Linked DNA regions of Arabidopsis thaliana. The protein of the gene in region 1 interacts with the protein of each later gene in a pairwise test. Each region holds a gene or a part of one and is shown on either strand. Other genes may lie near its edges.

Evidence for each region. Proteins that work in one complex are often made in the same cells at the same time.
Region 2: the proteins of HB30 (region 1) and RVE2 interact in binary tests that used the Arabidopsis thaliana proteins (3 or more experiments, as listed by UniProt).

Annotation. Positions count from the first base shown.
Region 1 is NC_003076.8:4,936,928-4,940,810, reverse strand, and holds HB30 (homeobox protein 30), read left to right. Parts: upstream 1-1,603; 5' UTR 1,604-2,121; coding exon 2,122-2,937; 3' UTR 2,938-3,346; downstream 3,347-3,883. UniProt on the Arabidopsis thaliana protein: Putative transcription factor.
Region 2 is NC_003076.8:14,750,780-14,754,589, forward strand, and holds RVE2 (Homeodomain-like superfamily protein), read right to left. Parts: upstream 2,310-3,810; 5' UTR 2,194-2,309; coding exon 2,182-2,193; intron 1,722-2,181; coding exon 1,659-1,721; intron 1,570-1,658; coding exon 1,458-1,569; intron 1,327-1,457; coding exon 1,265-1,326; intron 1,180-1,264; coding exon 565-1,179; downstream 1-564. Other genes in the region: AT5G37250 (RING/U-box superfamily protein), read left to right, coding at 1-192. UniProt on the Arabidopsis thaliana protein: Positive regulator for cold-responsive gene expression and cold tolerance. Part of a regulatory feedback loop that controls a subset of the circadian outputs and modulates the central oscillator. Negatively self-regulates its own expression.

The DNA of each region.
Region 1 (3,883 bases):
ATGTCATTGTTTTTTTCTTTATTCACAAATCTTAAGAACAGTCCATATTAATGCATACTAACCACCCATGCGATACATTCATCGTATATGATAAATCCTTCCAATTGCATTTGCACACATACATAAAGTAGGATATGTGTATATATAAAACATATACAGGCATAACATATAATAGATTTTAGAAAGAAAGAAAAAATCACAGATAGATCATCAAATAATTGCGTCAGATAATATATCCTGAAAAAAAAAAACTAATTAATATTATCCTTGTTATGGGCATAAAGCTTATTTAATGTCGGTTTGCCTTATTCTTCCTAACTAAAGAGTAAAAAGCCTTATAACTATTTCTAAAACAATAATATATGTGTTATATTATTTTGTTGTCTATGAAATCTATAGATAATCGTAGTGCGGTAACAATAAGACCAATCAACAATCAAGTTATATCTAAATGCTTGAAATGTTGATACGGTGGTTCCCTATTTTGGCTATGGTAAGTCGTGCAAGTCGTAATATATACCTACATTAATTAAAGTATAATGTTAAAGTTCAATGTATTTGAGAAGAAGAGAATTGTCTTCCATAACAGACGAACATGGTTTGATTAGGTAGCGCCATGTTGCAAGATATGTACGCGTGTTAGCTGTTTTTGGTATTTAGACAATTTCATATCATCATTAGTCAAAAGAAAGAAAAAGTTTTAAGAGTTGAGATTTACAATTACGTTACTACTATAAGAAAACAGACGACATTTTAGAAACCCGTTAAAATTCAAAATTTTGACGGAGAATTCAACCGTTGGATTTAGAGCATCAAAATTAAAACTTCCATAAAATTTGTCTGAATTTTTTGATAAAATTTATCGGTCATATTTTAGCAAATCTCCTAAAAAAATTGGTATACTATCAATTATTTATGGAGTTTTTGCTTTGAATTGTTAGTTTATCACTTATTATTAGTAATGGATTTGCAAACGATCTTAGGTTTGGTCTACACCTCTCTGATTAAAGACTTTTTTATACAGCTTTAAAGAAGTTTGGAGTAAACGGCATCGTTCTTCACCACTGCTCGTGTCAGCTTTTTTAGTTGTGGTCTCCTTTTCTTAAGGCCACTTTAACCGTCAACATGTATAGTCAATAAACATTTTTGAGTTAATTAGTGGAGTAGTTGAGAAGTAAATAAATTAAGCTAGTCATAGTTTTTTTTGCAAAAATTTGGTAGTAGAGTAACTTTTAAGATTGTAAGTTGATAGTTTTTTCGACATAAGATTGAAGACAAACCATGAACTATAAAACTAGGGAAGGTCGAGATTTTAACATTTTTGGATAAACATTGCTTTTGATCAACAATACGAAATATTAACTTTTGTCTTTAGTTAACATCATTGAATCAACAACCCGAATCAACCTTAATTATATTCATGCTTTACTTCCACACGAAATTTTCAGCTTAAATAAGGAGAAAAAAAAATAAAAAAAAATAACGAGAAATAATAATAATTGAAATTTGAAAGGTAGCAAAAAAGATTAATATTGATATAAAATTGGAGTATATATTATTAAAGTTGTCAACGTCATGGAGATACAAATTTAGCAAAAAGAAAAAGACATGACTCACATTAGATGCTGTTCTATGAACTCTATTTATTAGCCTATATTTATTACACTTATCTTTTTTCATTAACCCTAGATGGGGTCAACAAACCATGGTTAAAAAAAAATATTCAACCAAAAAAAAAAAAACACATAATGATTATGAATCTCAACCACACAACTTGGATTTCTCATTATCAACAGTCTTCAACTTCTCATCTCTTTCTTCCTCCATGAGAGACTTGAGTAAATAATACATAGTTTTAAATTTCCCCTTTTCTAATCTTATCTCTCCCAAATACATAAACCCATCCCAAAGATTTCGAGTTTACAATTTAAAAACAGTTTTGTTTAGTGCAATCTTTACCTTATCTTTACTTCTATCATCTATTCTTCTTCTTCCTCCATCTCTAGAAAATTATAATACTTCTTGTTTCTTAAATCTTATTTGTATTACAATAACCAAAACCCAAGTTTACAAAACATTTCTTCTTCTTGTTTTTCGAAACCCTAAATGTTTTGAGTTGTCATGGATGTAATAGCTACTACAACTACTATAGTATCCGACTTGGATTCACGACAACCCGAAATCGAAGCTCCGATCCGGATCCAGCCCGCGAAGCCTATTTCTTTCTCAAACGGCAAACGCTGCCACCACCATCATCTTGCATCTGAAGCGGTTGCGGTTGCGACTTATAAAGAATGTCTAAAGAATCACGCAGCAGGTATCGGCGGTCACGCTTTAGACGGATGCGGCGAGTTTATGCCGTCACCGTCGTTTAACTCCAATGACCCCGCTTCACTAACGTGCGCTGCTTGTGGTTGCCACCGTAACTTCCACCGCCGTGAGGAGGATCCATCTTCTCTCTCTGCCATCGTCCCTGCGATCGAATTTCGACCTCACAACCGTCACCAGCTTCCTCCACCGCCTCCTCCTCATCTGGCGGGGATTCGTAGTCCAGACGACGATGATTCAGCTTCTCCACCGCCGATCTCGTCTTCTTACATGCTTCTCGCACTCTCTGGAGGAAGAGGAGGAGCTAACACGGCGGTTCCAATGTCTAGGAAACGTTTTAGGACGAAGTTTAGTCAGTATCAGAAGGAGAAGATGTTCGAGTTCTCGGAGAGAGTTGGGTGGAGGATGCCGAAAGCTGATGACGTGGTGGTTAAGGAGTTTTGTCGGGAGATTGGAGTTGATAAAAGCGTTTTCAAAGTGTGGATGCATAACAACAAGATTTCAGGACGCAGCGGCGCTAGAAGAGCTAACGGCGGAGTAGTAGTAGGAGGAGTAGGAGATAGTCGTCAGAGTGTTGTTCCGACAAATGGGTCGTTTTCTTCGACGTGAGGAAAAGAATGGAAAGCGTTGAAAAAGCGTCGTCGTTTTAGAGGCTAATTCTTTTTTGGTTTTTCTTCTCTGTGTTTTGAAGATTTTTTATTTTTAGTCAACGGGTCAAAATCTTTTTTCTATTCCACTTTGTTTTGTTATGTCTTGTAGTTTGTACTCTTGTTAGTAGTTTATCTTTGTTAGAGAGGTGATTTGAGTTGTATCTTTCGACCAAATGTGAGAAGAAAGATAAATGAGTAACCTCCTAAAACCGAATAACAAAGTCAATTAATCCAATTGTTTTCTAAATTCTATATCAGTTTGCTTTTTTATTTTTACTTTTTTTCTTTATATAGAAATTTATGAAAGAAATGAGGGAATTTGTTGCAATTATGTGACATTACTAGATTTTTAACCCGCGGTATACCGCAAGGACAATTTTTTTTTTTTTAAGTTAGTATATATAAAAGTTTACAAATTGTATCTATCTATAAAATATTTTTATTTTATAGTTTACAATTGTTATTAAGTAAAAAAAACTATTTATTTTATTAATGTTGATCTTATTTATGATATGTTTATAAATCATTGTCTAAATATTTTGTAATTTTGTAATAATTAACTGCTATAAAATATCTATGTGGGTTGATGCGTATAATGGAATTGTTATAGTCATGCAAAAAAAGCAATATCAAAAATGATAATTTTGTAATTTTTAAATGATGTTAAATATTTTAGAAGTTTTATTTTAGTAACTAATCGTGTAGTTATTGTAGAGAGATTTTGAGAAGATAGTTAAATGTCAAATATTTAATTCGAAAATTTACTTTCTAATTATCAAAAATAATTATTAAATGCCAGTGACAACCACTGTAAATAAGTCTCAACTTGAAGATTTATTTCATATAGTGGCTGCAAAAATGTATATGTAGATAACTCAAAAACATGAAAACACAGTTACTATTTT
Region 2 (3,810 bases), 9.8 Mb from region 1:
GGAGATGAAGAAGAAACCACTTGTTCGATTTGTTTGGAGGACTTTTCGGAGAGTCATGATGATAACATCATTCTGTTACCTGACTGTTTCCATTTGTTCCATCAAAATTGTATCTTTGAGTGGCTTAAGCGTCAGAGGTCGTGTCCTTTGTGTCGACGAGTACCGTACGAGGAAGATCTTGAAACAGAGTGAAACCGTCACAGAGACTTGAAGCTAGTCTTAGGGTTTATGATGCATTACTTGTTTCTATGTTTCAAACATTTGCTTTTGATGTATTTTTTGTAAACCTAATCTTTTTTGTTAATCCTTTCGAATGAAATGCTTGATAGAGACTACTATTATGTACAACAATTTAGAGTTATCAAGAAGATTTGATTGATCAAATAAAAATGTTTAAGTACAAGGATCTCAATTTCTAACTGGTTATATGGAAAGACACGAAACTTTGGAGTGATCTTACGAATCTAATCCAAAAAAACTTTCCCTAATACTCTGACATTATACACATAATCTGATGTTGAGATCAAAAGAGTTTACACAACTGACTTGACACAAACGAACACTTCACCACAAAGGATATGATAATTTTACATTGTCAATGTTTTCTTCCACCTTTACTCTCTTTTTGTAAGGCATGAACCCTCTCATGTTGTTCATCTCAGTCACCGACGATTTTAACTGAGAGAAAGCTGATCTCTCACTTCTTTTGAACTCCGACACTACCACTTCTGTTTCAGCGTTTTCTGAAGTAGAAGAAGAACATTGAAGAGACTGTGTTTCTGAGTATAGCTTCTTCTTGCCATCTTCAGAATCATCACAACTCATTGAAGAGTTGTAATCACCAACTACAAAAGTTTTTCCAAAGAGCTTAAGGCTCTGTTTGGTCTCTGCTTCTAGAGACAATGATTCCTCTGTGTGAGATGATAACTCAGCTGAAGAAGAGTTAGGTGAATTTGAACCAATGGAACCTAATCCATCTGAGCCATGAGCTGATAAAACCGATGTTGGAGATCGGTTATCTTCATCCTGAATCAGCTTGGATCCGGTTAGTTCAGCGTATACCATCTCTTTTGCATCAGGAATCACAAGCTTTCTAGGGTAAGGATGCATCGGCTTTCTCTTTGGCCTTGGAGGCGGGATCTCAATGGACTCAGAGCTAACACCAAAATCGCGAGCAACCTAATAAGAAAAACTTGAATTAGACCTTGCTTAACACGAAGAGGTTGAAACTTTTTCATGTATAAGGGTCTGCAAGAAGGCAAACCTTAGTAAAGAACTTCTGCGCATGGCTTCGAATCTGAACTGCAGTTTTTGTTCCAACATGTTCTGTTCCATAGAAGAACCAACAAAAGTCAGATCTCTACTCATTACTAGGGTCCAAGTAGTTTTCTTATATCTTCATCAAACTTAGATTAGAATGTGCATTAGACTCTCTAAAGTCAGATAAGCACACACACCTTCGATTCGTCTCCAAGCTCTGCCATAGAGTTTCAATGCTTCTACAAACTTCTCATGCTCTGCTTCTGTCCATTTCTCTCTTTGTTTAGTGATGGTATAAGGCTTTCTTGTCTATAAACAAAACAAACCCTAAATTAACCTCATATTTAAGTTCAAAACCAATCAAGAGTAAACAAGAGATTAAGAAACAAAATTAGTACCTTGAGGTAAAAGGCATCTGAGGAAGATATAAGTTCATCAGAACATAAACTCTCACAACGTTCCTATAATCACAAAGTAAGAAAACACAATTAGTCTCTTAATATATTGTAAGAGTAATTAAATGTTACAAAGAGTCTAATAAAACTAATTAATACGCAACTAGAAGAGGTAGACCACCAGTAATAATTAGGGGATTAGAGACATGTTCTTACCTAATACGGATCAATACATTAAGAAAGAAGTAATCTCTCTTTAAAACAACCGACCATAATATCCCACATAATCGCCTGGTCTATTAACACAATTTTTAACCTGCCACAATCGAATAATCTTCAGTTCCAAGTTCTCTCAGACAAAGAGATTAAACTTGAAATTAGATAACAAAATAACCTATTTTCTCTCGGACATAAACCTAAGTTTAGGTTAAATCTGTCTGGATTCCACAAGACTTGAAACATAACAACAGTAACAAAACCAAGATCAAGATTGCATAAAGAATAACAAAGAAGATAGATCTCAAACCTGCATAGCCATGGTTGCAGAAGAAGAAGAAGAAGACTTGAAGATTTAAGATCTGAAATCTGAAGCTGAAGAAGAAGAATAAAGAGAGAGAGAATTGTTTTGAGATTGGTGAGAGAGTTGTTGTTTATGAAAGGAGCAGAGTCAAGGGGTTACTTTAAAAGAGCAAGAAGAAGATAAGCCACGTAAGCATAATGTTTTTCTTTTTATAAAAATTTGGGTGAAAAAGCGTAAAGAGGGGTTTCGAGAAACTAGTATCATGTGGCTCAGGTTAAAAGATGCTAATGACACGTGGAGGATTTCTTCTTCGCTTTCACTTTTGTCTTTGCGGAGAAGATATTATCTGTTCTTTGTTAAATCTTGTCGGAGATTTTTAATTGTTTAATTTATCTACTAGAAAGTTTTTTTAAAGAAGCTCATTTCATGATTATTGCCAAACTCGCGACTGGTGAGCGCGTGTCTTGTTTAACAACGTTGTTTACTTCTTACCCCATTTTGTTGTTTTTTATTAATCAAGTTGATTGCATATTTAATTTTAGGTTTAGGTACAGTATTTAATTGAAGTTGAGAAATACAGTTCCATAAAATAAGATTAAACAATTATATTATTTATTAGTAATATAATCACTATTTTTGTTTTATTAGAATTAACAATTAAATAAGATCTCACTAAATAGATCTAATCATATCATATTGACATGAGAATATATTAAATGAATATATTATTAAATTGTTTTCAACAATTTAGCGATTTGAGTTGACACACTTTATCTATTGATAATTCTAATTCATATAATGTTATAGAACATATTCTTATTCATAACAAATTTCAACAATTAATGCTATTTGTGGAACATTGAAAAATATGTGATATATTTGGAAACAAAATTTGTTTTTGTGCTAAGAATTACCCACTAAAATTTGGATTTTGGAATATTATTTTTTCTTCCTGATCATATAATTAAACAATTTCACTCATTTTATTCGTACTATGTATATTTGCATCATCAAACTGATGAATAGTAAAAACCTGAAAATATATTACATACTAAGATCTCAAAATTTGAATATAAAATACTAAAATGCATCAACTTAGAAGATGATCAATTGAAAATAAGTTTAATATCATATGACATGTTTATCAAAATAAATATATAAGTTAGTTTAGATAAAACATAATATGCAATTTGAATACTAGAGTAACAATAATATGCAATTTGAATGTTTATGACCCAACAAGTATTGAATAAAGACAATGTTGAATCACACCTAGCAAATTGTTTATAATTCAAGACCGTTTTTTCATTTATCTTTTATATTAATTTTGTTTATTCTTTTCTATAAGAATTTGGCCTACTTTGTTTCTACTATATATAACATAATCTTTAATTTCTATAATCTCAACTAGACGGTGTGTCAAAGTTCTAGTACCATTCCACTAGTTAGAGCTCATAGTACCCGAGAATGATGAGTATAGTTGGTGATGATATATGATTTTGAAAAGATTATATGAGAAACAATAGCTAGAGAAAGAGCCCTTGATACCTTTCTGAGTATGTCCATATTCAAATTATTAGAAGTAATAACATATGATTGAGTATGTTGTACAATTACATACAATATATCAAAATT